4 linked regions of the Lepisosteus oculatus genome follow. The protein of the gene in region 4 interacts with the protein of the main gene of each other region in a biochemical or structural test. Links are inferred from orthologs where the notes say so. Each region holds a gene or a part of one and is shown on either strand. Other genes may lie near its edges. The genes, in order: abl1, rbbp8, rpa1 and atm.

The links.
Region 1: of the proteins of atm (region 4) and abl1, one has a biochemical effect on the other in vitro, tested with the Homo sapiens proteins (3 studies listed by BioGRID and IntAct, with this or other methods). The link is inferred for Lepisosteus oculatus from reciprocal best matches to the Homo sapiens genes ATM and ABL1.
Region 2: of the proteins of atm (region 4) and rbbp8, one has a biochemical effect on the other in vitro, tested with the Homo sapiens proteins (4 studies listed by BioGRID, with this or other methods). The link is inferred for Lepisosteus oculatus from reciprocal best matches to the Homo sapiens genes ATM and RBBP8.
Region 3: the proteins of atm (region 4) and rpa1 form a complex in vitro, tested with the Homo sapiens proteins (3 studies listed by BioGRID, with this or other methods). The link is inferred for Lepisosteus oculatus from reciprocal best matches to the Homo sapiens genes ATM and RPA1.

What each region holds. Positions count from the first base shown.
Region 1 is NC_090719.1:14,553,818-14,561,510, reverse strand, and holds the start of abl1 (tyrosine-protein kinase ABL1), read right to left. Parts: upstream 3,044-7,693; 5' UTR 815-3,043; coding exon 682-814; intron 1-681. Other genes in the region: exosc2 (exosome complex component RRP4), read right to left, coding at 6,177-6,257, 6,628-6,756, 7,017-7,193, 7,685-7,693. UniProt on the Homo sapiens protein: Non-receptor tyrosine-protein kinase that plays a role in many key processes linked to cell growth and survival such as cytoskeleton remodeling in response to extracellular stimuli, cell motility and adhesion, receptor endocytosis, autophagy, DNA damage response and apoptosis.
Region 2 is NC_090701.1:57,679,873-57,687,243, reverse strand, and holds the start of rbbp8 (DNA endonuclease RBBP8), read right to left. Parts: upstream 3,026-7,371; 5' UTR 2,972-3,025; intron 1-2,971. UniProt on the Homo sapiens protein: Endonuclease that cooperates with the MRE11-RAD50-NBN (MRN) complex in DNA-end resection, the first step of double-strand break (DSB) repair through the homologous recombination (HR) pathway.
Region 3 is NC_090721.1:10,064,826-10,072,395, reverse strand, and holds the start of rpa1 (replication protein A 70 kDa DNA-binding subunit), read right to left. Parts: upstream 3,075-7,570; 5' UTR 2,908-3,074; coding exon 2,875-2,907; intron 1,971-2,874; coding exon 1,923-1,970; intron 1,825-1,922; coding exon 1,746-1,824; intron 959-1,745; coding exon 850-958; intron 547-849; coding exon 458-546; intron 1-457. Other genes in the region: smyd4 (SET and MYND domain-containing protein 4), read left to right, coding at 3,359-3,492, 4,450-4,594, 5,600-5,689, 6,532-7,570. UniProt on the Homo sapiens protein: As part of the heterotrimeric replication protein A complex (RPA/RP-A), binds and stabilizes single-stranded DNA intermediates that form during DNA replication or upon DNA stress.
Region 4 is NC_090700.1:682,634-690,704, reverse strand, and holds the start of atm (serine-protein kinase ATM), read right to left. Parts: upstream 3,057-8,071; 5' UTR 2,939-3,056; intron 2,265-2,938; 5' UTR 2,234-2,264; coding exon 2,162-2,233; intron 1,848-2,161; coding exon 1,726-1,847; intron 1,006-1,725; coding exon 860-1,005; intron 743-859; coding exon 578-742; intron 392-577; coding exon 226-391; intron 147-225; coding exon 1-146. Other genes in the region: protein NPAT, read left to right, coding at 3,905-3,941, 4,539-4,657, 4,962-5,022, 5,111-5,189, 5,794-5,834, 6,457-6,717, 7,023-7,098, 7,463-7,601 and 1 more.

The sequences.
Region 1 (7,693 bases), on a different chromosome or scaffold from region 4:
CCACGCTGCTCACAAACTCAATCACAGGCACGGAAACCGAACCTGATACAGGAAAGAGTGCTACTGCCACACAGGGGTCAGTCAACACCGGGAAGGAACTCAACTGTGATCCCCAGCCTCATGCTGTTGTAGACACCCTACTAACGCAAGCTTCTTTCTTCATGCTGAACCACATTGTTAATTAGCCAGCCCAATCAGAGAAATGAGTCTCAACACCCTTTAGCTACTGATGACTCACTTGGGCCACAGCCCCTGTCTTTATCGGTGAAACCATCCAGCTGGATCAACAAACCGACCAACAGAGCACCAGCTCTCCACAGACAGGCCTCCTCTTTCACAGAACAGCATCCTTCTTTTGGCAGCGGTGCGAAATCGAGCTGCACGCTACCAAAACGCACAATGTTTTTAATGCAAAACGAGGCCCAATAACTATTCATTTTGATTCCAGCTGTGTTGACTAGTAACTCTACAGCGCTCGCAGGGCTGGGGCGTCTGTTAACCCTTCACCTCGCACCGCAGCGCAAGAACACACTTGGATGCAGACAAGGCACAGGGACAAGCGTCCTGTCAGCTCCCCCTCTCCACCACAGTGCACTCTCTAGAAACAGGGCGGGGAAACAAAATGAGCGTCTAGGCGGCTTGAACCCCTGCGTCCAGCTCAGCTGTTGGAACAGCTCTTACCGTGCTCCACGAAGACATTGCAGTGCTGGCCTCCACGGCGCGACGGCTCCCTCCTCGCTCCCTTGATGAAGTGCAGAGCCGGCAGACTTGGTCTCCTCTGGTCCCCGAGCACTTTCCCCGGCTGCTGCCCCATAAAGGAACGATGCCAAGGCCACCGCCAGGAAGGAGGCACGATCCGCCGTCCGGATCCTCGGATCAGCAGCCGGGCTCGGCCGGGGTCCGCTTTCCTGTGGCCGAGGACGGGGGGAGAGACCGAGCGGAGCGGGCGGGGAGCGCCGGACGCTCACTCCTGCATCGCCCCCGGGCCCCGGCGGAACTTGGGCGGCGGGGAAATCGGACACGGGAGCGGGGCTGCCTTCTGTTCCTCGCCTTCGCCGTTCGCCTCCCCCTTACCGATCATTTACAGCACCGTAGCGTGTGTGCGCGCTTTCCCGTTTCCCTCAGGGGGAAAAATTTCCGCCAGGGCAGCGTCTGCAGCAGCTACGAGGAACCATTCGGGGCATCCAGTTTGGCAAGTTCAATACCTTTCAGGGTATGGATCGGGGTCATTCTCATTGCATAATCTCATTTGGTGTGCTAGCTTCAGCTTGGCCAAGGATTGGAATCCAGGTTCCCCCTCTCTTTTTTTAGTGCTTAAACTTCAGCAGGTAGATCCTAGGAAAGTCCTCGGGTCAGCCAATGATGAAGCCGCTTTAAAAAACCGAAAGCCCCCTTTTAAAAAGTCTAGCCTACTAATCATCTCCAGAATAGCGTATTTACATAAAGGCCTTTCAGTGTGCCGTTAAAGAGGTCAGAGTCGGCTGCCTGGGTGTGCTTTTATGACTAACACACGGCCGAGAACATAAATCTCTCAGTGTGGATAAAATAAAAATGATCTGACTGGAATGAAGTTCCGTGGGCTCTGATATTACACACGATATGAACCCCGGGCGGCTGACACGCGATCACAGTCCTGTCCGCCTTTCTGTGAACTATGTCAACAACAACAACAAAAAAAAAAAGACTTCTCGATATCAGACCTGGTTAGGGGTCCATAATGTAACAGTAAAACAGCAATCCCTGCAGCAGGACGTGTGATCACCTACTGGTATTTAAAGTCCTCTTAGGAGGGCATCTGTGAAAGTAAGGCACTGTATTCATTGTTTACGCACAATACATTCACTGCGATCTTTGCAGACGCAAAGCAACACATTGCACACCTGTGTGTCATTCAAGACCCCTGTTTTTTTTTTTTGTGTACGATTTCATCAAGATCACCCCCATCGACGATTCCCGCAGTTTGGTAAGGGTTGTTTTGGTTTTCTCACATTAAAGGGAGGGATGCGGAGTTTGGTTTTCTGACACGGCTACCCCCGGAGAGCGCTACGCGGTGCATAGTGGTCGTGGAAGCGGCCGATCTGCTCGGAGCGCAGCCCGCAGACACCGGCTCGCCGAAAGACGTCTTCTGCCCGCAAGATATACTGTAAGACACCAGTGCACCGCTACCTACGACAAACCACAAGCCGTACGCGGCCAGACAGCCGCCGAGCACCGACCTCACAGCTTCTCGAAACGGTTCTGTTCCTATTTTGTTCCCCCCTCCCCGTCTCTTTCACGCGTCTGTATTTTCAGGTGTGTGTGTGTGTGGACAACCCGATATGATGCTAGCTTATTCCTGGTCTGGGTGGAGGAACTCGGCTAAAAAAAACAAAAAACAAAGTTTAATAAACGCTGCAAAGTTGAAAAGCGGTGGCAGGACCTCGGTGCACAACAAAGTAGGGAACTCGGACCGGGGCGCGTCGAAGCGACCCCGCTGCAGTCGCGGCGCAGCGCGTTAAAAGGGGGTGGGGGGTGCCTCAATCAGCACGGATCGGATTTTCCCTGTTCATCATTATTTTTGATGTAAAACGCCCGAGCTTGCGTCTCGGGGTGCTGCCCGGGCGTCAGTCTCCGTGCCCCCCGGCCGGTCTGTCACCGTGCGCCTCTGCTACAGCGCCACGACCCCCTCCGGCTGCAGATCTGGGGGGGACCCCGGACACCTCCGCCCCCACCCCCTCCGGCTCTCCCCGACCTCCCCGTCCAGTATCGTCCGTCCTCCCGGGCTCTCCCGTGCCCGAGTACCCGGGGCTCCCTAAGACTCGGGCAAGCGGCGATCCGCTCCGTCTGTCCGCCGTGTTAGCGACGTCTTCCTCGGCGATGACGAGGGACACCCGGGGCGCCTGTCCGATCAGGGCGAGCAAGCACGTCCTATCTTCCGTACTCCGGCTGTTTGCATGGATTTCTGACTCTCCCGGAGGTGGAATTGCTACTCAAACCTCGGTCACATACGCTCAATCGCCGCCATGTTTCTCTACGCAAGGAGATCAACTACACAGGAGGTGGTGTTGGTTGCGGGGGGGGGGGGTTACGTCTACGTCCATGCGTCCCGACGTAACGTAAGAATTCCCGAGGGAAGCGCGCAAGAGGATGTGAGGACGAGAACGAGCACGTTGGTAGGGGAGCGCAGGAAAGGAAAAAGGAAGCGCGCCCCCGATTCTTTAATAGGGGGGCGCGCTTCAGCGAGAAGGGCGCTTAAGGTCCAGAGAGATGTGGTTTTAATGGCAGAAAGACAGAAACTGGCCGTTCGCACGTTGTACGGGGAACCAAAATGATTCTGCAAGAGAACATATCCAAATCAAACCAGCAGGAAAATGAAACTGTCCCGCAAACTACGTGTGTGCTCGCTGCAGCCCACCCGCTCTCGTCTGGCTCCGGGTGTTTGTCATTAAGTTTATGTCCACTCAATTACATGCATAGATTTCAAGATGGGAAATCCACGGAACTTCAATCGGATGCATTTCATTGCATATGCTTCTATTGTTTCTTAAACAAATTCGTAAAGTTATGCTGAAGGATCATGTTTTTCAACAATCCTTTTGTTGAAGTATCGCTTTCTGTTCCTTTCTTTCGCACAGTTGGCTCCAAGATTCAAATTTCGCTTACTTTTGCAATAAACAAGACTGATGTGAGTCCTTTGATCTGAAACCTCTTCCAGGAGAAAGGGCAAACGCCAGTCTTTGAGTGCTGCGGGCAGCCGGTTTTACAGGCTGTTTGCAATTAGCCCCAGAGTTGGAAAACAAAGCTGATTTAATCATCCACTCGGTTCAATAAAGTCCCTGTCTTCTGCAATAGAAAACAAAACAGACACCAATGCAGCACTTGGTGACCAGAGTTACCTGTCCTATCCCCCTTCTTCTGAATAAACCCAGCTTTTTGATCACCCCACTCAATCCAGGAGCAACAAGCGCACTCGTGATCAGCACATGGACAAATGAGTTATTTTACTACCTGCATAGAGTTACATCCCGGTCTTCTTATAAAGAAGGTGCATACCTGGGGCTGTATTGTCCTACATTGATGTTTTCCTTCTTGGCGAACAAAAACTATTTCTGCGAGGTTCAGGAAGTGTAAATACGTTGTATTGTGAAGTTATTTCCTCTCGTTTCGCCAAACGAGAAGTTTTTTTCCGATACATTTTCGTAAGGCAAATGAGAATCGGCAAAAACATATAATATAGTTGCAGTTCCCAGTATTGAGAAATGAGTGGGCAAAAAGAATAGGACATATTAGCTTAACTACAAAGATCAGATCAGGAAAGATCAGGAGTAAGGCTGCAACCCCCGTTGGATTTCAGTGAAAAAGGCACTAATTGATTTTACTCTGATAAAAGAAAGTCCTTCCATTAACTTTTGTCAGTCAGCCAAAAAAATGAATGTTTTAAAAGGAAAGTCTCCATCTTGTTTTAACGATGAGGGATGTGTATGATATCTTCATCTTTAGTTTACTTTTTGACAACTTAAACCAAAATGATCCAAGTGCTCCCCCTAGCAGCTGTTGCCACTCTTGCCAGTTTTAAAACCGTGTTCGTAGTGCTCTTTCCAGGGCTCCATCAGCAGTGGACGAATACTTGGAAAGGCTTTGCAGTTGTTCCTGTGCTCCTCAGATGAAGGACATGCATGTTTCAGGCGCACATTTTTTCGACTAGGGAGGCTTGGTGGCACAGTGGTTAGCACTTCAGAGCTGGGGTCCCGGGTTCAATTCTGGACCTGGGGTGCTCTCAGCCTGTGGCTTGTATGTTTTCCCCCCCATCTTCATGCGGGTTTCCACTGGCTCCAAAGACATACGGCTGACTGGCTTCTGGGAAAATGGGCCCTGCTGTCCATGTGTGCCCTGCACACTGGCACAGGTGTATCTTGCTTTGTGCCCGTTGCGTGGCGGGACAGACTCTGGCTTCCCTGCGTCCCTGTATTACCCCGAGGGGACACCAGTTCACTGCAGGGCAATACACTCGCAGCAGGGCCAATTGTCCCAGAAGCCAACTAACATACCAGCGTGTCTTTGGATTGTGGGAAGAAACCCACGTGAGCACAGGGAGAACATACAGACTCCACACAGACAGCAGCCCAGGGATCTAACCCAGCGGAGCCCTGCGCCATCCACAGGACCCGGCTGATGTGCCATTTGCACATTTTATAAAAACGAACAAACTGCCTGTCTTTTAGCTTCCTAACTGCTTATAACCCTGGTAAGTGGAAGCATACCAGGGGGCATCTATAGGTCAGTGGAAACGTTAGAGTAAAAAGGGAAGCAGAATGTCTTGTTTCGCAAATGTAAGCAATAACGAAAGTCTCGATAAGGAGTTGTTTTCCCGTTATCCAAGCTTGACTAAAAACGAATGGTTCGTTTTAGGGATTAGGTCATCTATGTTAAAGGTAGGACGTGTGTCTGTCACTGTGTATAAAAAGCGCTGAGCAACATCTTTCGGAGAGACTAGCTTTCGCAAACTGATCTCCCGTCTGCATATGAATAAACAGCTCTTCTTTCACCAGCATCCGAATCCTGTTATTTTAATGCTTCTTCATGACTGACCAAGCAATCAGGACCCTAGGTGACGGGGGTCACCCCAGAGAACGGCCAGGAATCAACAGAAACCTGGAAGAAGGTTCATTTGGATAGTTTACAAAGACGGCAAGGGAAAGGGGCAGTACCGACCCAAACATGAACTCGATCGCCGTGAGCTAAGCGTAAACCTAAAACACAATTGTGTTATACAAAACCCTAAACGTGTACAACAATTAAAATACTCATGCAAAAGACTCTACTCCAATGTTCGGGGGTGGTAATGTCATTTATTAACAGAATAATGGACATAAACAGAACTTACATGTGACCCTGAGCTTCTCCACACAACAGTGGAAGAGCCTCTTAAGAACACACTGGCTGTAGGTGCTTCCAACGCCTCTCCCTGCCAACTGTGTTCAACTGTTAAATCGTCAAAAATGATCGATTACACAAAAATTCATTGGTCAACTTTAAAAAAAAAAAAACAACAAATGCTGGTCCCTTTGTGACGTCATGTCAGCTGTTCACAGCCCGAAGGGGAGACAAAACCTCTTTTCTCCGAACCCCAGGTGACCGGAATGGAGACGGGCCGAGGAAAAGGAATCGGCAGGGCCGCACGTCGGCTGTCCGGGCGCCTACCCCTCCTGCTCCAACAGCCTCTGTCGTGTCTCCAGCACGATCTCCTCCATCACTTCCGGCTTCAGGACGTCTTTGATCTGCAGAGGCAGTCGGACGAACACCGACAATGAGTCTCGCACATACCGGTACTAAAAAAACACTTCACTGCTGCTCCACCTCTCTTCCACAGGAGCAGTTTGAACTGCACTCGAGTCCTCCGCTAATAAGGGCTTTGGGGATTTTGAATATTTAAATCAGTTCCCCACACAGCCCTCTCCGTTCAGCTCTATGTGCTCTTCAAAACTAAAAAGATTCAGTTCCTTCAGCCTGACCGTCTGTTCCACTTCAAAGAAATGTCCTACGTTCGTCTACAAGCTGCTGTACAGCTCGACAAATCGAGCAGGTTACACCAAGTACAGCTGTAGCCCCAGGGACTTTCTGGGACGGCGCACCTCTACAACGCTGTACCTGGTGCGAGAGGGAGGCTTCGTAGCAGTAGAGCACGCTGGTGTCGAACAGCAGGACCTTGTGCGTGGCCAGGGCCAGCAGACAGTTCCGTAACCTGGAGATCACTTCCCTGTCCGAGAGAGAGACGGGCTGGAGGAGGAGGAGGAGGAAAGGGACACAGGAACGGAGAAACAGGATTATGCATCGTTACAGCAGCTCAACGGAGCTAAGCGAAAGAGCGAGACCGCGCAATAAATCTTACCGTGTAGGCTACTGTCTAGGATAAAAAAAGGCCATCCGAGATGTTCAAAATCCAGATCCGTGTGCTACCAATCCTAGTGATCCACCCCCTCTCCCACTTTTTGCGGCTGTGTTTGAGTTCTTCGGTGAGCCCTGCCACCCCATCTTACCTCCAGGCTGGTGTAGAAGCCCCCCGCCTCCTCGTCCTGCTGCCCGGGAGTGGGATACAGCCACACGTAGCCGTTGTTGCCCAGGATGATGGAGGCGCCGCAGGGCAGGTTGTGGAAGTGGGTCTTCTGCCTCTTCACCAAGGATGGGGACACCTGCACCAGCACCCCCTGACCCAGCTGTGAGGAGGAGTGAGGGAAGTGGAAGTTCTGGCTAGTTACGAGCCTATTGAAAGGTCACGCATTTGAGGTTAAGAAAGGTCAATCACCTTCACACACGGAGGCGCAAAAAAAAATAAAAATAAAAAGAGAGCCGGGTGTTCTGGTCTTTATCATTAACAACGGTTTTGGCTTTGCTATCAAAAGCGGCGTGAGGTCTGAATCAATAAAAGGCTTACCTGCAATGACACAGGTGACTAGTCGGAAGTATTGAGAGCATTAATCTAGGTCCATGCAAACATTCTTATCCATTTTAATCAATTTTATCCAGTACAGTCGGTGTGATTTAAAAACAAATGCATTACTTAATCTTTTACATTCACTTTTTACAGTCTCTTTAAGCTGGACTAAATACGAGACTAATTCGAGACGGTTCCCACTGTAAGAGAGAAACTATATATGTAGAGTGTTCAATAAAGTACAAAGTGCTTGACTGCTCAGAAGACACTCACCTTGCCGTA
Region 2 (7,371 bases), on a different chromosome or scaffold from region 4:
GAAACAGAGACTCAGCATCGGACACTGACAGAAACTGCCTAAAATGGGCAATATGCCAAGGGTTAAGAAGAGGTCTTAAATTTTTCACTTGGAATTCTTCATTTGTGTCCAGTTGTCATTTTATTTCAGATCTTACTAAATTAATGCAGAAATTAAAAGGATAAAAACTCTGATCATCTGGTTTCCAGGCCTTAATCGGGTACTGGATGAAGAGCGGCTCATAACGAGCAGGAACATACAGGCACACTTTGGGAACCAAGGCCGCTAGCCTTAGCAAAGAGGAGTCTTTTTTTCTGAAACACTGTGTAACGAGCTCCATCTACTGGTGACTATTGGTACAGCAGTGTGCAGGCAACGCTCCCGCGCTGGGACCCACACACCAGCAGGTCTGATTTCCAGCCAAGCACTGCATTCAACAATCTAACCATTAAAGGTTTGCGGCCGTCTTCAAGCAAACACCTCAGCCGAGGCTCTATCCAACGGGAGTGTGAGGATTCAGCACCAGAATCGGGTAGCTCTTAGTTCTAAAGAAGTTAAGTATTACACTGGGACCTGTGTCCCTAACCCAAAATACAAAAAAAGTCAAAACAAATCAGACACCATTTTTCAGTTTTTGCCATGCCCGTGATCAAAGTATTATTAGATATTTGTTTCTTTATTTTTATACATTTTATTATTTAACGTTTTTTTATAGCGCTTTTCATAAGGACATAAGAAAGGCTACAGAGGAGAGGAGGCCAAGCGATCCACTGCAGTCTAGGGACTAGACGGTTGGTAGTAACGGGTATGTCCCTCTGAGGACCTCGTCCAAATGCTTCCTGAGAGAAATCAGGGCATCACTGTATACAACAGGGCTAGATGGCTTGTTCCCGACTCGGCAACTCCCGAACGAATCCCCCGGCACACGCAGGATAAGACATGCTCCTCCCAGCGCTGCAGCATGGGACCCGTCCTGCACCAGCGGCCCCACTGCAGCGCAGACCAGGCGGAGAGGAGAGAAACTTCATCACTGCAGCGCAGACCAGGCGGAGAGGAGAGAAACTTCATCACTGCAGCGCAGACCAGGCAGAGAGGAGAGAAACTTCATCACTGCAGCGCAGACCAGGCGGAGAGGAGAGAAACTTCATCACTGCAGCGCAGACCAGGCAGAGAGGAGAGAAACTTCATCACTGCAGCGCAGACCAGGCGGAGAGGAGAGAAACTTCATCACTGCAGCGCAGTTAGCCCGGCCTCACAGCCCCTGGGTACCAGGTTACCAGCTTCTCTACGGAGCCTGCATGTTACTTGCTTTCTAGCAGGTGCACCTGTTTTCCTCCAGCCTTCCATAACCATGCGGGCCGGGTTCGAGAGACGGTCGGCTGGTCTGGGGCGGCGCCCTGCCTCGCACCCCGAGCTTTCTGCAGGAGCCCTTGCCTGGAATAAGCGCTGTCTTGAAGATGGACAGATGGATGAATCCAGGGGGGAAATGCAGGTGGGGCAGACTGTACAAGCCGAAAAGCAAAGCAGTGACAGAACGCCAGGGCTAACACAGGTCTACTCTTACGAACAGTGCCACTGGATCTTGAATGACTACTTATGTAGCTCAGCAAGTCACCATCTCATCCCAAAGATGCCCATCGCCCTGGTGGGCCTTACTGGGATACTGGTTCAGAAGTTCTGTTCTACAGGGAAGAGTGCCGCCGCCTACTTCACCTGCACGATTTACAGCAGCAATCTGCTTTCGACGGAGGCACCCGGCTCCGGTACTGACCAGCTTGAGCCTTGCGTAACTGCAGAGAGCAGGTCGGGTGGCGACGCTGTCCTCCTGCACACTGATATGTGTTACCGGTCTCCTCCATCCAGACACAGCAGACTTGCTATAGAGCTCTGGGCACTGTATCCTGTTAAAAGTGTCGCCCCTTTGGGGTCTGAACCCCGAACCTTCGGCTCAGAGTCCTAATCGTCACCCCACGACTCCGAGCTCCGTCCTGTTCGTTGTGTTCGAGTGCAACGGCTGCATCCCCACGTGCAGGCTGCCCAGCTGCACAAAGCAGGGTCACACTATTTCCCGGACAGACGTCGAATCTGACAACACGCTCGCCTGGAGTCATGTAGTCTAAAACAGTCGTCAGATCAGCGTTTGGAAAATGAACAACGCGCAGCGACTGTCGTGTCGAGAAGCATAAAACGAGCGCATCAGATGTACCAGAGGATATGCTGTAGATCAGGTTAAATGATCCTATCGGTAAAACCCGAAAAAAAACAACAAACACCGGCTTTTAAACCTCTTAGTGGATTTACACCCCGCCTCACTCACACTTCCTCGAGTGGGTTTTTCCCACGCAATGCTATTCACAAACTTTAACGTTTACATATCATTACATTTCTCCATATACTGGGAACACAGTGGAAATATTCAGGGTGTGAAACTCAGTTATCCTCATAGCCCAGTGGCTCTGACCTCCTCTCAGACACGCTTTAATATAAAGGGTCTATATTTGTGAAGGGGAAACGACATACGTGGTTACTTTCTATTTTCTTTGATTTAACAGTTCGCACGAATTACTGACCTGCGACAGCACAGTCACGTTGTACAGTGCAACCAGTAAGATCACCTGCTCATGGCCAAATCTGCAGGTTAAGACCCACTCATGCTGTATTACAGAATGCTCTTCGTTTAAGTGAAATAAAAGCACGGAAGGAATGCTTGAATACTCGGGAATGCGCCAAAATGTAAATATCTTCAGGTCTATCAAGCGATTCGGACCTCAAATTACATTAAAATATCCTATCGTCCCCAATGTCCGACTGCCTTTCCTCGCACGCCACCGCGCTGCAGGAGGTGACAAATAAAATGACAAACTACCCGTACACAATTAACAAACTCGAGGGCAAAGAATTACCAAGAGAAAGCGCAAAGTAATATGTCCAAGTTTCACACATCTGTAAAATACGATCAAATGTACACATGTCGCTGCAGAAAGACTCTTACCTTGTTTACACACCGCTGTTTGCACTTGGCGCTCCGCGGTGCATTCTGGGAGTCCCCGCCACTTCCTGTCCTCCTTAAAGCGACAGCTCCCACGCACGTTTCAGTGTGTCTCAGACCGCTAGGAAGGGGACATAGCTGGTTTGATAGCGTCAAGTCCACCATAAAGACGAAAGCTTTCTTATCTGGAGATATACGAAGTGTGCGACTGGAGGGCTGTGTGATTTCTTACCATGCATGTTCAGTATGTGTAGACACTGCTTGTAGCATCAATAAAAACGTCGGCAGATTAAATAAATACACGGTGGAAGTCAGTTAACAAAATGCTAGCTGAAAATATTTCAAACGCCACGAGATCACAAAAACTTATAACAGTAAACGAGAGGGAGTTTTATTTAAAAAAAAACATAATGATGTAGGAATCAAATACCTTTATGTGAAACAGTTTACGCTGGAAAGGTAACTACAGGAATCAAAATGTCTGCCATACAAGGCCATGACATATAACGTCTGGGATAAATTGTACTATAAGATTAAATGAAAAGATTCAGTTTTCCTGGATCTTATTGCAAAACCGATTTAAATCACTTCTTGAAATTGGCTTTTTTCATAGGTATTACATGCAAGGTCGATCTCTAGTTTGTTCGAGAATATTTTATCATATTTACGTTTCTATTTCATCTGCTAAAGGCTAGCGTGCATTTTACGGTGTTCCTGAAATAGTGTTTCCCTGTGTATTCCGAGTTCTTGCCCTTGTCTGTGTTTTCTCGTACCTTAACAACATTTGACCATAATTGTGTCTTGCAAGTCATAAACTATAAATCATAAAACATCTGTGATGATCAGGGTTGCAGAAAGTAACATAGTAAGAAAAACACCAGAGTGGGGGTTGTTTTGCAATGTGTTCTTTCTTAGCAATAAAATATGTATTGTCAAGCAGGTGCTTAGGGTTCAAATGCAATTCAGACATTACCTGTGGTTATATAGCCTGAATATTGTTTCCATGGCAACCAGTGGTCTTTGGACCCTATAGTCCCCAATATTGACACTGCTGTCTCAGATTAACTTTTGTATTTGACTAAGTAAAACAAATAATGTTGCTTTAAATTTTAAAAAAGATGTGATGTCTTCAAACCTCCAATATGTTTCAAATAAACCGGTTTGTCAAATACTTCTGGCCGTTGAGGACTAGAGTAGGAAATTGCGTAATTTTTCATGGGACACTTTTTGATGATCACAAAGATTGTGAAACGTGTTATATGATAACCCCTTTTTTACTGAACAAATGACATATCCTGTAACACAGGACAACAGATGTTTAGTATAACTGAAGTTAAAACTGTTATTTTAAAATTTAAATTAATAAATATACAATTTGACCTGTAACAGAATTGGCTGCAAAAGCATAAAGATATTTAAAAAGTTTTCTAAACGAAAGCAGGAATGATTCAGTTACTCGCATATTTCTGAGGCTTTCACACTCGTGTGGTAGTCATTTTGTCAACTTGTCTGGAGCCGTTGTGTAAGCAGAGTTGCATTGCAGAACGCAAGTTCGTGAAAAAAGAAGCCAGTAAAGCAATAATTGCTTTGGAGTATTCATGCATCCCTGAGCTATAATTATTTTAATAAAAACTCAAACTTTAGTTACATGAAAAATAAAAAGAAACTGTGACTGTCCGTAAAGGTACAAAAACTGAATCGCCTATCGCATGAGAAGTGTCATACAGTATAATTGCACTCGGAGCTCTTTAGTTTTACCGAGCCGATTGAGCAAACAGCCCGGGAACACTGTCGAGAGTCCCGAACACACATTTTCATTCTTTATTTCTTCATCCCGGAGGAGGGCGGGGCGGGACGAAGCAAGAACAGGGCAGGGAGAGTCGCACCCGGGCGGTACTGGCTGAGCTGGAGCCGGTCCAGACCGCCAGCCGCCCGCATGCTCGGCTCTGGTAAGAGCTTCGTTCAGGAAGCGAGGAAGTGATACTAGGGCAAGTAGCAGAAGCTCAGGTGAGCGCCGGGGCCTTGTGCTTTTCTCCACTGGCACGGGTCTCTGCTGAGACCTGAAGTACCGTTGCTGATGAAATTGGATCCTTACTGTGCACCCCATCTAAACTTCAGCCTCAGACGAGGAGAACCCCAAGGAGCTGTTTCCTGGTGTAAAAGAGGTTGAGAAACACTGGTGTAAAGCACTGCCACTGCCTGTCAAGACACCCATTGTGTTGACTTGGAGCTGTAATCCACTTTAATGAATTTAGTGTTTTACTGGCGGCTATGAAATGAGGTGTAGGAGTAGTACTCAAGTCCAAAGTCCAGGCCCCTTCTATGTCTTTCCCAGCCTTTGAAAAAACAAGGAAGGATAATCTTGACAAGAGCAAATATTATCATGAAAAGACCAACGGCAAAAGAATATTTGTCTTTAATTTGATTTTGTTTTTCACAGCCTGTAACAAAATGCCAGTCCTTTAATTATATCAGTGGACACGGTTCTGCTATTTCAGGTGGTGTTGCAGAGGCGTTTCAGCCCTGCACATCCTTACCACCCACTTATCTCATGCTGAAAATGGGAACAATAAGATGTGTTTTCGGAAAGAAATAAAATTGTTTCTCAATTTCTTCATTCCTCTTCACAATAATCCCAGCTACTAAATCTACAAATAGAAGAAAGAGGCTCTTTAAAAGTATACTGTAGTCACCGATGAGAAAGTTGTCACATAAATGGAATGATAACAACATTTGTCTATATGTTGTTATAAAAGGTATCTGGGAATTGTATCGAATGAGGGACAAATTTAAGGGTTCCTCACTATTACTTCGCACAGTATGGCGATTATAATCATGACTTATTTTTGCCAGATTCTGTCTTAAAAGTATTAAAGTGCTTTCTAATTATGAATAAATATACATCTTATTTGATTGCAGTCACTCTCCATTTCAACACAAAGTGAGGTTTTCTGGCAAATAAATTTGGATTTGTCACTACATTTTTTTAATGGCAGTATTTATCAGCCAGTTATTTTTGAAAGCACAGTAAATAGTTTTTATTTTCACCACAAATTTATTCAAGTCCATAACTCTCCATGAAAAGCAGACTGAAATAATTGGATTTATTACTGGATTTGTAGAGTCATATCTTGGGAAATTATTGCATTAATGAGACAGGCTTCTCTTTAAAACTGTTCACATACCCTAGCAAGCTAATCTTTTATCTTTTATCTGTTCAGAGAAAGCCACATCCATAATTTCTAACTTTCGGGTGATCCATCAGGCAATGTAACCCTCAGCTTGCTAGCAGTCCAAGTGAAAGGAGGACTCTGTAGGCTGAAAACATTCCCAACAGTCATTTCTGCTGTATTTGTATTAAAGGGCAGTCAGTTACAACTACATTACAACAAAAATAAATGATATTGTAGCGCTCTCAGGTTCACGGGGGTATGCGCCTTCGCCGCTGCCGCCTCAGGTCGGCCCCTAACCGCTGGGAACTCGAACCCGCGCCTCCGGCATCACTCAACAGGGACCCAGCCAGTTGAGCTAAAGGGAGATCTCCCGTTAGCCCGGAGGCTGCGGTCCCTGCTATAATGTCGGCCTTATGCCTTACGCTCTCCCCTGCTTACTTTGCCATCCTCGGCGAACGGCTATCCCATCCCACTCTGACACCAATGTAGCGCTCTCGGGTTCGAGTCCCCAGCGTTGGCGAGGGAGAGGGCACATACCCACATGAACCCGAGAGCGCTACAATACAAATATCAATATTTTTCCCCCCTGATTTTCTAAAAGTAGACATTCAGACCTGCTAAGCACTTGAAGAGAGAAAGGGTGAAACACAGTTTCCAAAGGAACCATACACTTTGAAAGTCATGCTGTCAATGGAATAAGAGCTATATTTGCACTTCTGTCAGAAACAGCCTGCAACACAGGCTATATTACTGTGAAAAAAATTCTATCAGTTCATATAATCCCTGTCTGTAAATAGCTGCATGCAGTTCTGCTCTGCAGAAAACTGTTGCTGTGATCTCTTATCACTGACAATTTAAACACTGGCATGGTGGTAATATGTTAGGGAAAATACTGTACTACAGTGATTATTTCTAGGGGAAAAGGATAACATATAACATTGTCTTTTCACGTATTTATTTCAACATGCCTGAAATACAAATACAGGGTGTCCCATTTAAATCTGACACATTTATTTGTGTAATTAAACTTAGGTTGTTAAAGGAAACCACAAATGTATTAAATTACATTGAAGTACAAACATGGGGGTTTTGTTTTACTATACTATATACACCTTGTTACAGGTATAATTCTTCTGAATTACAGTTTATTTTAAAATGATGTCCAATACCATTCATGTTGATTACAATGTGTCATTTAACACAATTAATAGAAGTTGTGGTCTTCTTCAC
Region 3 (7,570 bases), on a different chromosome or scaffold from region 4:
CCATATTCAACAGAAACAGGACAGTTCCAGCTTGATCTTGAGTGGGGGAGCCTCTTTTATAAAAGCAATAGAAGTCGAGCCAAGAAAACCAGGCAACAGGCTGTTGTTTAAAGAGTAGGGGTGTTAGCCTGGCGTCCTGGCCAAATTCCCCCTGGTCTTTACCCATCATGGCCTCCTAATAATCCCCATCTCTGAACTGGCTTCATCACTCTGCTCTCCTCCCCACTGAGAGCTGGTGTGTGGGGAGAGGACTGGTGCATCATCCAGGTGGGGCTGCACACTGGTGGGGGTGGAGGGGATCCCCATTACCTGTAAAGCGCTTTGAGTGGAGTGTCCAGAAAAGCACTATATAAGTGTAAGGAATTATTTAGGACTTCTTAAATTGCCATCTTTTTACAGAACATCCTGGATTCCTACTGCGACACCCAACACATGCTGCACGCGTCTCATTCCTTACCTTCTCCGTAAGGGACCGGGTCCCCAATCTTCCCGCCCACGTCGGACGCTGACTTCAGAACCTCCACGTCGACGATGATCACCACACGCCTGGGCGCCCCAAGAGCCAGAAAACAGAGCAACTGCTTAGGACCGCCCGCGCTTGCAGCCCGGAGGAGACAGCTCCCACCCAGCGCCAAGCTTTCAGGTTCTCATTGTGGCCTGAAAGCTGAGCTCCTCAAACCCCACCTCAACAAGAGTTCATAAACCTGGGGGACGAATGCACTCCTAGCAGGGCTTGGACTTCACTGTACTTCAAGACCAACAATGACAGAAGTGCTCCTGTCCTTCTCTCTCTGTCTTTGCACCGGCAGGAATCTTTTACGTCTGGGCATGCCAGGCGGCACGACTCACCTGCCATCCTTCAGGGTGTTGTGGACGTTCCTCTTGATCTGGCAGATGCAGTTCGAAGACACGGTGTTCTGCTCCACCAGGTGGTTCAGCTGCGTGGCCAGCATGAAGGCTGTGCCAAGGAGGAAGATTTCGGGGTGAAAAAAAACAAACATGCACAGTGATGCCCTGGACTCCAGGGAGAAGGAGCTGGACGAGGAGTTTGAGGCGGCCGATGACGCATGAGCTTTTCAACAGACCTGTGCAGGAGCCCCAGGGAGCCCTCAACTACACCGCCTCCCTGTAGTTTCAAACCCAAATATCAGACCCTTTACTTGTCACGATTAAAAAAATGTGCAAGTACCAGTTATAAATCATTTAACAATACTTTAGGTAACAGGGCTCTCTTTGACACCTGAAGTCTGGAAGACACAGAGAGGAGAGAACACTTCTCACACAACCAGAACTTGCAGAAGCAAAACAACCAGGACCAAAGGAAAGTGGAGCAGAGCACAGTGAGACTGGGTCCATCTCTGCCATTCAAACCGACTCTGGATCAACTAGGAAAAGCTCCTAAAATTTCCCCAAGCTAAAAAATTCTGAATTTATTACATGTAAAATCAAGTTTACGACCTTAAACCATAACCTTCTCCAGAGCTTAATGAGCAAAGACTTGAGCAGCCACCAAGACTTAAGCACCACAATAAGGAGCAATACAACTATCAAAAGGACTTAAATTCAAAGGCAGATGCAAGATGCTTCCCCGCCAGCAGGACACACTGCTTGTTCCCCGTCTTTAAGAAGAAAGAGACATATTCCAGAGGACCGACAGTCTCCTGAGGTTCCAATCTAAACCCAACCGATGGGAGCCGACTACTGCCCGGCTGAAACAGGCCCAATACCGCTGCTGCTGTACTCACAGGACATGGTGTGCACCCCGTCGCTCATCATCATCCGGAACCGGACCGGCCCGGCGCTGCTCTCGATGCGCCGGATGTTCTGGTTGGGAGGGGGGAGGGGACACAGGTCAGATCTCAGCGATGCTGCAACAAGGGCAAACAGATCTCGGATCTCGGATCAGATGGGTCCGTACTCACCACCACCTGCAGGACCATGTTGGGCACGTCGCTGCCCTTGGTCAGAGCCTGGGGGGACAGAGAGTGAGGAGGGGGGGTCAGCCAGGCCTGGCAGTGTGTATCAAATATCAAACCCGAGATACAGATGAACTGAAACTGGAATTATGAATGCACAGCTACACAATTCTATCCCTCTTCCTTAATCATAAAAAACTTCCTTACTTTGAATGCATATAGCCCAGTTAGAATGAACTAAGATGTAAAGCATTAAGAGAACAGACAAGAACATACACAGATGAAAAATTCGTTTATGTGTATATTAGCACATGTCTATTATAAAATGATGCCTGCGGCACGTCGTCAGTACCTGTACAAACATCAAGCCCGTCCTCAGACAGGCTGGGTGCCGCTCTCGGCCAGCTGAAGTCCCAGTAACCACTGACTGAAGTCTGAGAGCTAACGAGCTCCTGCCAGTGTAGGACTTGCGGTGGGAAATTAAAACACTCAGCCTACAGACAGCTACAGCAACGACCCCAGACCCCGAGCCGTTCGCCTTCAGTTCTGGAAGCAGTGTTTCGCTCTGGCCAACATGCAATGCAAGCAGGTGTTTGTTTTGTTACAGAATGGCGTTTATCAAGCTTGCACTTTATTTAACGGGTGCTCCCGGAGGTCATGGCTGTTGTGAGCCGTGGAGCGGTTTTATTAATCCAGCGCCGGCGCGAAGGCCCGCGACACGGCTCGGAGACCAACTACACGCCCGATTCGCAGGAGCAGGGCTCTGCTTGCATCGCTTAGAAAGAGTCAAAAACAACTGGGGGTGTTACATCACCGACGAAACCCAGTAAAGCAATTCACTGCGATCGATATTGAGCGACTAGGAAAAAATATTTATCAAGTGCGACATCAGAAAGAACTCTCCGCTAGTGTGGATAATAACTACAAACTACTGCATCCACCCCCGAAAATCACCTACCTCAATGGCTCCTTCGGTAAGTTTGACAGTCATAGCGAGCAAAAGAAATCAGATTTTAACCAAAAAAAACTCTCCTTGAAAACTCAAAGACGGGTGAATACGCCTCTCTCCTCTGCAGGTCCGTATTCCGTGGCGCCAAGTTTTGGCTGTAGAGCGCGCGCGGAGTGTGTTTATAACTCTCCCGACGTCACGCGCCAAATTCCGCCGGCTACGGCGGGTCTTGAGCATGCGCGGTCCGTGCTCGGCGGAGACAGTCCCTCCCCGTTCGTCGGATTGGCGGGGAAAGCGCTCCCGCGAAACGGGCGCCATTGTGGCTCGAAGCTATGTAAATATAAGGGAGATTGGAGCCAAGATGGAGGATCTCTCAAAAGTGGGATCTATCACCCTTGACCGGAGAGTGCTGCTGGGTTTGTAATGTGTGTGCCCCGCTGCATGCAGAGATCCAATAGCTAGGCGTTAGTTTTATCATTTTTTTCAAGAAACAATGGATTTGCCGTGCCCCGAGTGGCAGAGACATGTCGAACAGAAGTGGAAGCTTTTGCCTTCCGTCCAAAAGCAGGCGTTCACGTCGCTCACCGAGCCGGCGGAGATGTATGCTTTCTGCGTCACGTTGGTGAAGTGAGTACAGCTCGCGTCCTGTCTCTGTCAGTGTAGAAAGTCTTGAATGAAAGTGTCGCAAGTGTACCTCTGAATTATCCCTTTTGGGATCGGGCTCAGTCTTGCTCGTGTGCAAACTGCACATCTAATTCATTAGCTGTTTTGCGCACCGTGGATAATCAGCCGAGGGATCAGTCCAAATCCTGTATCTGTGCAAAAATATTTACTTTTTTAAAGTTTACTAATAAAAAAAACTATAGCATGAATTTTGATTTTTAATTGAAAAAACCTGGAGTATGTGACAACTGTACAGTAAAAAAATGCTTGTTTGCAGATTATAATAATAATTGCTTACATTTATATAGCGCTTTTCTGGACACTCCACTCAAAGCGCTTTACAGGTAATGGGGATCCCCTCCACCCCCACCAGTGTGCAGCCCCACCTGGATGATGCACCAGTCCTCTCCCCACACACCAGCTCTCAGTGGGGAGGAGAGCAGAGTGATGAAGCCAGTTCAGAGATGGGGGTTATTAGGAGGTCATGATGGGTAAGGGCCAATGGGAAATTTGGCCAGGACACTGGGGTTACACCCCTACTCTTTTCAAGAAACGCCCTGGGATTTTTAATGCCCACAGAGAGTCAGGACCTCGGTTTTACATCCCATCCAAAGGACGGCACCTTTTAACAGTATAGTGCCCCCGTATCTATACTGGGCCATTAGGACCCACACAGACCGCAGGGTGAGCGCCCCCTGCTGGCCCCTCTCACACCCCAAACGGGCAGCAGTGAAACTGCAGCCCTGCTCTGTGAAGGAAGCAGCGCTCTTCCTGGCTCTGCGGTCGTTAAAAAGTAGTTATCTCAAGTCAACCGCATGTTGAAGCGTCTTCAGCTGGGGCGGCGCTGCTTCAGTGCCGAGGCGGACGAAGGCCTGATGCTCTTTCTTTCTCTCTCCCTCCCTCCCTCCCTCGCCCCGTCAGCGGTGAAGATGCGGCGCTGCTGTCGCGCGCGGCGCGAGGACGCTCCGTGCGCAAGAGCCCGGACTGCGCGCGCCTGCTCAGGGAGCAGGGGAACGGGAAGTTCAAGGCACGAGACTACCTGGGGGCACTGCTGCGCTATTCTAAGGTCACCGGTCCCGTTTCATTTACAGGCACACCCGGCTCTGCTCACGCGTCAGCTGCGCAGTCTCTGTTACCTGACATTGCTGCTTCATTATTTGTATTCATTTTTATTTGGCTGGTGCTTGCACCCACAGCAGGTTTTAAAAAAAAAAGTATTTATGCATAACAGAATAACAAAAATTACAATACAAACAAGAGCGCATATAACAGTTCAAGACAAAAAGATCGCCAGGGGTACATACTACTACATAACTTCAAGTTAGGAAAAAAGATTAAACAAATTAAATAAACATAATGTCTGCACTGCTTTCATATTTGTGTCTGCAAATACCCCCCTTACATCCATTTTAAAATGCTCAAGCATTTTATGTATATAATAACGTGCCATTAGAATAATTACATTTATTACCAACGAAATTTTAATATTGTTTTCGATGGGGCTGAAACTCAACATAACATCTTTTTTCATCGATATTGATATTGGTTTCTTTTTTAATATAAGTCTGCAGCTTAGTCCAGAAAAGCAAAGCAGCTTATGTTTGTAATCATTGTACTGGAGGCATGTCTCAGTGCAGTACTGGGGCTGAGGGGTATGATCGCACTGGGGATTCGAACCCACACACCTTCCAGCTGGGAGTCCAGGTGCCTGACTGCGCCCCCAGACTGCTGGCGCTCGGCACCTCTTACAGAGCTGGCCGTGCAGGGTCTGGGCCTGTCTGGCTGCCCAGCAGATGAGGGTCATGTGTTTCGTGCTCCAGTCCTGCGCCTTGTAAGACTCCAGGACAGCTGTCCTGGCGGCGTGGGGCACCCCAGGGGCGGACATCGCCCTGCGCCCCTCCCCCAGCGCCGTTCCGCTGACGCTGCATTCGGAAACCCGGCTCCCGGCCTGCTTGAGCGCTCATGTGTCCGATGCCGTTGCAGTTCTGCGAGCGGCCAGGAGGTGGCGCCAGAGTGGTGGTGGTGGTGGGGGGGTGGCCCTCTCACAGTCTAGTCCTTGCTCTCTCCGCAGGGCGTGTGCCAGGCGGACCCGGGCAGCCAGGAGCTGGCCCTGTGCCTGGCCAACCGCTCCGCTGCGCTCTTCCACCTCGCCCAGTACCAGGTGAGCGCCAGAAGCCTGCACGCTGCACGCTGCACGCTGGGTTTAGTGTGAGCTTTCGGGCAAAGGTAAAGCTCGGGTTGGGGTCACGGAGCTTTTAAATGGCTGAATGAAGCGCTGGCGTGTGGGCCTTGGAGTTACCCTCCTATGGGCCCGCCCTGTGTCAGAGGATCAACCCCCAGAGCTGACTGGAGGTCAGAAGGGCTCCCCCTTGGGCGTGGGCTGAACCCCACTGTGCGATCTCTGAGCTAAGATACGCTGAACTCTGTTGTCCCCCAGGGGAAAGGTTTTACTGACGCACAGCGGCTCTGTACATCTAAATACATCCCCTCTGTTACACACGCATAACTCGTTGCAACAGTTCCATCACATTACACATACATATTTTACAGCACGCTCAGTTTATACACAGTTGCATTTATCCTTGCCAATTATTTGCATTAATTACTTTTAATAGATTAGACATAAGAGAGAGAACACATTATTATCTGATCAACATCTGGGAGCCCTGAAATGTTTGCCAGAGGTTCTGATGTGCAGAATTAAGAATATAAAAAGGGATCTGATGTACTTGTTTCCCTCCTGGTTAATCACGGAGGAGAGCTGCATCAGTCCCATAACCTTCGCTGCTGTTTGGACAGGACGGGTGATTTTTGATCTTGATTGGACCCATAAATGACCAAACCACACCGCTGCACCATGTCTAGTTAGGCTCTCGGTGACAGCGTGGTAAGAGAAGAACGGGTCAGAACTCGGACGGCGCCGGGTGGTTGCTGTGGTACGTGGTGACAGACGTCCCGGGTTGTTGTGGGTCCGATCCGAAAACCAGCTGCTTGTTTTCGCAGGAGTGCCTGCGGGACATCCGCAGGGCGCTGAGCCAGGGCTACCCCGGACACCTGGAGCCCAAGCTGCTGGCCAGGCGGGCAGAGTGCCTCTCTCAGCTCGAGCGGGCAAGGGAGGAGGAGGAGGAGGGCAGTGCCAGTGCGGAGATCCGTACCGCCGGGGAAGGGGTTATGGAGCGCCAGGCACCGCAGGCACAGAGCGGCAGGCTGACCGGGACCCTGCTCTGCGCGTCTCCTGCCGTAGCCCTGCGCTTCGGCCACGGCAAGGGTCGCCACCTGCTGGCCGCGGCCGACATTGCGCCCGGGGAGGTGGTGGTGCAAGAGGAGGCGTTCAGCTGCGTGCTGATCCCCGAGGAAGCGGTCAGACCCGCGGTGGAGAGGGGGGCCGCGGGCACGGAGGACTGGCACTGCCATCGCTGCCTGCGCAGGGCGCTCTCCCCTGTGCCTTGCCAGGGCTGCAGTTACGCCCGTTACTGCGGGGAGGAATGTCGAGAGCAGGCGTGGGAGGGGTGCCATCGCTGGGAGTGCCCGCTTGGGGGGGAGCTGCTGGCGGCGGGGGTGCTGGCACACTTGGCACTCCGGGTGGCACTGCAGGCCGGGTGCGAGGAAATCAAGAGAGTGCAGGACCAGGGCAGGGGGGACGAAGAAACTCTGGACAGGATGAGCACCAGGGAAAAGTCTGATCAACCTGATGTGGACGGCTCCACAAACAGCACCCCAGTACCTGGATGTGACCCCTCAGGCCGCTACCTGGGCTCCTCTTACCTGTGTGTCCATCACCTGCTCCCGCACACGCACAGACACGCCCCCAGCCTGCGCTTCCTGTGCGCCGCTACTGTGGCAACGCTCTGTCTCAGGCTGAAGGGGGCGGGGCCCCTGTCGGAGAAAGGGGGCGGAGCTTCCCCGAGTGACAGGAGTGGGAGCCAATCACAGAGTGAGACGGAGGACGAGAGACAGGGGCGGCCTTTGGAGTTGGGCATGCTGGGAGCAGCAGCACTGAGGCACATGCTGCAGCTGAGGTGCAACGCCCAAGCTATAACTG
Region 4 (8,071 bases):
GCCGCTGGGCCCAGACGCACAGGACAGAGGGCAGGAGCTCCTCCCCCAGCCCGCAGACCCGTGTGCGGCAGTTCACGGCCGAGGCCCTCAGGAAGATGTTCAGAGCAGCCAGCAGGTGCTCCAGGACAGCCAGGTACTTCTCCCTCCTGCACGAGGCACAGAACACACGCTCAGACGTCACGGACCGCAGGGCAGGGCTCTCCTCGGAGCAGCGAGGTGCGGTACCTGGCGTTCAGCAGCGCTCGGGAGAAGAACTTGAAGAGCTTGTGCACCAGCCCCTCTGTCTGCAGGCAGCAGCCCCTCACCAGGGTGTGGATGATCCTGCTCACCAGCACGCGGTTGATGGCACTGGAGCTGCTGTTGTAGAAACCGCAATACACCTCCAGCAGCTCTGGACAGGAGAACACAGGGAATCAGCACTTCAACACGGCACAGCAGTTCTATTTCATTGTTAATCTTTCCAAGTACAGACTCTAATTCCACCCTGACTGCTGAGCTGAAGTCGGAATGGGGAATATATTAGTCTGGGCTCACACACTTAATGGAGTGGAGCTCAGGTGCTGGTTAAGGCACCTACCAGCCCACTGATGCTGTGTGACCTCACACCAGTACTTGCGGACAGACAGGATGTCCTTCAGCAGGATGCTGCTGTAGTCCTCTCCATAGGCACTGCAGGAGAAGGAGCTCCTGAGGACGCCCACCAGGTGAGCCAGGAGGTCCGTGCACTTCAGGCGGGGGCCTCCTGCGAAAGGCAATCGCTCCAATGTGTGAACAACGGGCAGGGAAAGGAGGCAGGAGATTAAGCAAGCGGTCAATGAGCTGCCAAAGATCTGTGTTGACTTAAAACATGGTCACTTACTTTTGTTTGCACATCTGATGAAAAATTTGAGCAAGCTGCTGACTTCCTGCATTTTTTTGTGCCTGTTTGCTTGTGTGGTGGCGGACACATTGGCCTTCCCAGTCTGCAGCGCCTCCGTTTCTCTCTCCACGTACCGGCGCAGAACCCTTCAGGGACGAGAGCCGCTGCTTTGTCAGATTCGCCTGGGCCGCAGTTAATTAAAGCATCCAATTTCTAAACCGCACGTCCAGCAGGGGCTTCTTAAACACCCCTTTCGCTGCAGATGTCACTACGCTCGGCCAGACCGCTGAAATCGCGACCCGCTCACACGACTGAGAGCCTGGTGGTAAAAACGGGGGAGCTGGGCTTTTGTTTTCTGACAAGTTCAGAATACTACACACTGGCCGTCACTCGTGGGTTTACCATTGTCTCCTGCAAGGCCAGCAGAGGCGCCATCCTGCTTGTGCTGCTCTGCTACAGAGCAGGTAAGACCCTGCAGCTGCCCTGGCAGTACAGTGCAAGAACACAGGAGCACAGCGCACTGGGGCTTCTACACGAGCCAGTGAGAGCTGCGGCTTGTGCAAGAGGCTTTACGTGCATCTTCGCCATTTTACAAGGCATTCCCCCTCAGCTACAAACAGAGCACCTCCAGGACTCCCTGTGAGCACTGTTCCAGACAGGAGCACTGCTGGGCTGCGTGTGTGTATAAACCAAATCGGCGAAAGGGTGGGTGCACAGCACAGTTAGGCTGTGTGACAGAAAATCCACAACAAGGCTTCACAACTAACACACAGGAAACATCCTCAGTGACTAATGCGACCTGGAGCAGACCGGCATGAACTCATCACACACGGTCATTCATTCGGGCTCATTTTAAGAGCACCTACCCAAAGACAGCATCCCAGGTGAGCTGTTTGGAACCCTTCGCTGCTCTTGAAGAACTGGCTCTGTCCAGGGCCTCAACTGTCTCAGGAGACACGATGAGCCGCTTAAATTTATCCGCTTCTTTCTGCAAAATAACATTGACAGGTGGACTCCTAAGAACATTCTGCTAGTGGCAACTGATTGTTTAATCTACAGCTGTTTAATACATCAAATCCACACTATTGTCAAAACACTCATTATGTCAGGGAAAATGCTTCATAGGAATGCCAAAAGTTACTCACTTAAAAACAAATGTATGAATGAAAGAAAGCTTATTACATTCTCAGACTTTTTCAGCTTCCTCATTAACCTTTGAACCTTTGAACATCAGCACTGAAGTGATCTGGTCACTCCTGAGCGACTCACGCCCCTGTCCTGCACAGAGGTGAACGCATCTACCTTCCTCTCCGTGGCCTTGTCGCTCTCCAGCCCACGGCAGCACATCAGGAGCTCATGCAGCAACAGGCTCATGTTGTCCTCAGGGTGGCGCTGCACTGGGGGCCTGCAGAGGCAGACAGGGGAATCGATGTCGAGTACTGACGCCGCACTGACAGTGCAGGAGCACAGAATCGAACTGGAGAAGCGTGTGTGGGGGGCGGGTTGCAGACACAGGCCTGTTTTGATTCATTACACCCCTTCAAAGTATGCCTTCTGATCACAAACACAAACGATTCTATACATAAATCATTCCATTAATAAGGGTTTCACATTAATGCAGTTTAAACGTTTTTGGTTTCGTTTTTTAAAGTGCCCAACCCCCCATCCCACTGAGCTGTAAGGAGCAGTCCCTGAGATCCTGCTAAGATCTACAGCGCACACGGGCGATGAGAGGACCACATTGCCGTCTGATGACCTTCCACACCAGCCGGACGGAGAACGCAGTATTACAGCAGGAGTAGCACTGCTTCAGGTGCTTCAAGTCCAGGAGTCCCCGTCTGCCTTCAGAATAGATCGGCGATGACCGTGCTAGGTGTACACGTTCAACAATCACAAGCGAGCTACACACACTTGTTTAGATCTGCACGGTATTACCAAAAACATACGATCAAGATCCAGACTTTAAAGTAAAGTAAGCTAGCTATGCAGTCTGATTAAAATTGACGTCAAATCATCTTAAACTACTAAATGATTCTCCGCATCTAAAAATCGCTGGGAACTGGGTACCTATTCACATACCTCCTTATATAGCTTTCTTTATTTCACGACAGGGCCGTGTTCTGACGTTCACTTAAACTAAATCCCAAGTACTGTCCACTATAAAGACAGCACAGCACGCACAGCAATACAAACACAAACCGCGCCTCCCCAACTTCAACTTCATTTCCGGGTCGTTGCGAAGACGGGCGGTTCCGCTAGCCAATCACGGCCCCAGTTCCTGAGATAGCTCCGCCTCCCCAGTCCCAGCGAGGCAGGGGGTCTCTGGTGCAGGAGCTGCAGACTGGAGCTTTAAACGCACTGCCACTGTATTTTTAATCCCGTTGAAAAAAATACAGAATATCATATCATTTGTCATAAATTTAATCATGACACTTACATAAAATTAAACGGTCTGGGAAGAGACCCCCATTTGAACAGTTCAAAACACAGCATGTCTCCAGACGTTTTGCTATAAGCGTAAGAATATACAATCTGTGCGTACCTTGATTTATCTCATTTAATTATTTTGTAAAATGCAGCTGTGTTATGTACCCCTGACGATGTTATGTATATAAACTCTTGTCTGTATTGTATATATTATTGTTGCAATAACATTTTTGATAAAAACATTTCCACTGACAGAATATCTGTTTGGACCTCTGATTTATTTTATGCCAGTTTCCATTGTTACGCACAATTAACGTTTTATATAATATTCTGAACCCAAGAGCGCTACTATATGTTAATACATTATCCGCCATGTAACCCTGTCTCGCGTACTGACATTGACTGACCGAACACCCGAACTACATTTCCCATGCAGCCTTTTAGGCGAATACTTCCGGGTGAAACGTGCTGAATTTCCGCGCTTTTTCTGCGGGTGGGTGTTATTGGGAGTTGTGTTCAGCTGAGCTGAGAAAAAGTATAACGGCTCAAATGTGTGCTGTTCGGTTTTCTTTCATGACTGTGCGTATGAGGGCCAGTTGAAAAGGCTTCACAACAGCCATGTTGCTACCATCTGACATTGCGAGGCTGGTTTTGGGTAAGTTGGAGGGGTCGCAGCGGGGTCTGTTGCGGGACACAGGCGTGTAGCCGGGGAGTTTGCTCTGCGGTCGCAGCTGAGAGCTGTGTTGATCACAAAGGGCCCCTGCAACACGTACTGTACCAGAGCCTGTATCTGGGGGACAAGAGCATGGTTAGCTAAAGAGCGTGTCTTTCACTGTGTAGATAACAGAAAGCACTGCATATAATATTTGATGCATGATATCGATACCACTGGGTGTAAGCTGTCTGAAACAACGGTGGTCGGAGTACTACCACCTAAAATACTAAATTACACACCAGGTACGTGTTAATGTCAAATTCCATAACGACTGTGACGAAATTATTAATACTGGGGAAAAATGTCCAGTACATCAGATGTCAGATTTTGATAGTATTCCAGTGGCGTTTATGACCTTGCCAAGATTTCAGTTGCAAGGACGTTATCAGAAATCAGTCATGTCCGAACAATTGTGCATAATTCGCTTATTGACAAAGGATGTGTATTTTTGGATGCATGCCCTGGTGAGTTGATATTGCTTTGAAATTCCAGTAAATGAAGTAAACCGAGTGCTTGTTTGTTCTGGGGTGCGCCAAGGGTATCTCCAACAGGAGCGCCTGACTGCCACTTGCCGGGCGTTCATCAGCGAGAGTCCGGACCTGAAGGAGTACGCGGAGCACAGCACCGAGGACGGAGCGATTCCTGCCTGCGTGTTTGTGAGTGCTGTCCGATCTCAGCAGAGCCCCTCGCCCCTGTACGCTGTAATGGAAAGACTTGTGGAAATTCGGCATCTTATGGCATGCACATGCAAAATTTCACTCTTTATTCTCTGCGAAAGTCTCACCGTACCTAAAGCTCTCATTAGCTGTCTGAATGAAATAGCTTGCGTTTCATGTGCTAGATTTGTTTTCATGAAAACAGCATACACAGTGTGTTAGACATCTCTAATCTGAGCAGTGTGCTCAGATTTATCCTATGTTTCCCTACGTTCTGTTTTATCATGTTGTTTTGTCTTTGCAGTCTTTGTTTGGGAAAAACCTGAACACCATTCTGAATGAATACGTTGCCATTAAAGCAAAAGGCAAGTACTGGAGGTTTTAAAATAACTTCAGACTCAGAGCTTCATATGTTCATGTTTTGTTAATATACAACTGTTTTTTTTTGTCAAGAATGCAGCCAGGAGTCACAGGTACCTGCTATGATGACGTCGCTCTGGAGGAAATTAGATTTCACTCTGAATCAGATCAGGTAAAAGGAAACTTTAACTGGATTTCTGGGGGTGGGGGTAAATGGAGCCTCTTGTTTCAGGATATGCAACCATAAGAACTTGCTCCCGGAGACTGTCGCAGCAGCGGTGTTTTTACCAGAGCTGCAGAATGGAAGAAAATCTTGTAGATAAACTGTCATGAGCTCCTGACATCATGCAAACAATTTCTTGTGTCACCTGTGTTACGAAAAAACTACTATGGCTCAGGAACCAGTCCAGGGTAGAGTAACCATATACATTGCTGGACCAGCGTACACCCTACACAGACAGACTAGAACTGAAGCTTTGTAGGCTTCAACAGAAAGAGGCATTGACAAACCCATCCCAGTGGAATTCTTCTGAACAGAGTGACGCATTAACCAGAGGACGTAGGTTGAAACTACATTTAAAACTAGGAACCGGGGAGTCTGTCATAAGTATCCCATTTCTAAAGAAATGAAATATTATAATTTGACACATTCCAAATTTTGCAGGACTGTCAGATATTATCTTGGCATGAGAATAGTGAAATGTAAAATGAATAAAGATGTTTTTGAGCAAAACTGTTTTTCAGGATGGCTTAATGATGTCTATTGCTCTCACTAGGTGTATGCAGAACTCTCCAAGCATTTACAACAACCAAAGATGTAAGCTGGCCTTTTCATTTTTATTATTTAAATACAGTTTATTTTTTCTGTCCGGTATCTTTTCACTGCATTTTAGATTTTAGGAAACCACAGGTCTTTCATACCATAATGAGTCTGTCAAATGGATTTCTCAGACTTGTAGGAGAAAAGGGGAAATTGAAGGTTTAGAAAAAAGATAACTGATTTTTTCCTCTGCATGTTTATGATAACCCTCTTATAAATGTCTCCTTCCATGTCGGTCTCAGACATTCTGGAAAGTTCTGTCTTGCATTCGCAGATGTTCCCATATTGAAAAGAAAAGCATATTGTATTGTTTTCTTAGCTAAAATTGACCATCGTTTCATAATGAATCAGATCCTGCACAGTCTGTTGGCATTGTAACTATTCATTGCTTCTGGCTCTTTCAATATTAAAAAAAAAAAAGATTTGATGATTTTTTAATCTCAAACATTCTTGACTTTGAATTTTTATTCCCCTCTGCCTTTTGGCACATTTACAGTATCAGCCTGTACTTTCAGATCTTTGTTCTCGGGTGTCTGGCACCGCTTCTCTCTTTGCGTGCGTGTCCGTGTGCTCATCGGAGCTCTCACCCCTGCTGTGTGCCCGTGTGCCCATGTTGCAGTTCGCACCCGGAATGGGATCCTGAACGTGCGGCATCAGAGAGCTCAGCCCTCCCCGCCGGCTCCGGGCAGCTCCGGGCTGCTGTCTGTGACTCCCTCTCCCGGCCAGCACAGCCCCAGCCCCAGCCCCGTGTGCGTGCCTCAGGCCATGCTGGGGTGCTCCACTCCCATCTGCTACAGCTCCCTGCACGCGAGACCCTCCCCCCTGTGCGTCAGCCAGTCTCAGGTCCAGGAGCGAAGCAGGGCTGTGCTCAACGTGAGCAGTAAGTGGAACACCGAGGGGTCGTGGTGAACATGTAGTTAAAGGTTTTGTTTTGTGTTATACATGTGGTTTTTAGTTTTTTGTGTGTTAGTCCTGTGGCCTTTGTTCTACAAAAACATCTTGACCTGTTAAATAGTACTTGTCAATACATTAGTCTCTCATAATGACAGATCATCAGTGTGTCCATTTAAGGAAAAATCCTTGCCCAGATTCTGAGTACAGTAGAGGAAAGCTTGTATGGAAAGGCTGCCTGAGGACTGCAGATTACTGGTTCCTTAAGAGCCCCTTTTGTTTTGTTTCCTGTAGGAGATTCCCCTCTGCAGGTTGTTGTTCCAGATCGCAGATTTAGCCCAGGACAGTTGTCTCCGGGCCGCAGGAAATGGTGAGGAGACCGCTGAGAAGGTGTGGCCTTCCTAAAGTCAACGTTTTTTCCCAGAGGATTCTCTGCTTTGCTGGTTTGTGTTGCTTCAGCACCTGTGTCATTTCTGAATCCTTCCAGCTGGAAAACTCTGCAGTGTTGTATGCAAAGAATACATGTCTGCTGAGAGCCATGTCTGTGTCTCTTTCCCTGTGTTTGTCTGCTTGTTCCTGCTAGACAAGCGTGGAATCTGCAGCTCAGGCTGAGGTGGCAGCTGGCCCAGGCGTAGTGGTCTCTCCGTGCCTGGCAGCCTGCGTGCTGTTAGTGTATGAGCTGTGTGGAAAGGATACAGGAAGGCCTGATCCTCCTGTGCTGTGCGGTGTTTCAGTGACTCCCCCAGGAGGAGAGGTGGGCTGCTGGCTGGACAGGGCGGAGCACCAAGGACCCCCCAGATATCTACTGTCATTGTGGAGACTGAGGAATTCCAAAACGAAGGAGAGCAGGAGCCCGTCTCGGAGAGCTTTCCCGTGAGTCCCACCTCCTTCCACATTGGAATCGGATTCTCAAAGTCAGGCGGATCTCTAGCATCTGTTTCTCTTCTGTTCCAATGATTTATTCCATCCTTGTTTCTTACAGCAAATGGTTATAGAGAACGCCAGGGACAAGATACTTAGTGACAAGTCCCTGCAAGAGAAACTTGCAGAAAACATTAATAAGTTCTTGGGAAGGTAAGATGAAATTGAATGGCATTTTACATTAATGGTCAGCTAGTTAAAAGTCTGTAATCCTACATGGCTGGAAACATGGGTAGGAGTCTAAACAAGGACCAAAACTGACAGAGCTTTATTTTAGCCAGTAATCTTTATTGAAAAGTTTAAGCAGTCTTTTCGATGGGAGATTGACTCTGAAGTCCATATCCTTTTGCAGAATCCCAAACCAAAAGTTTTACAAAATAACAGCATCCTGCCCACAACCAGGTGACCCCTGATAATTGCAC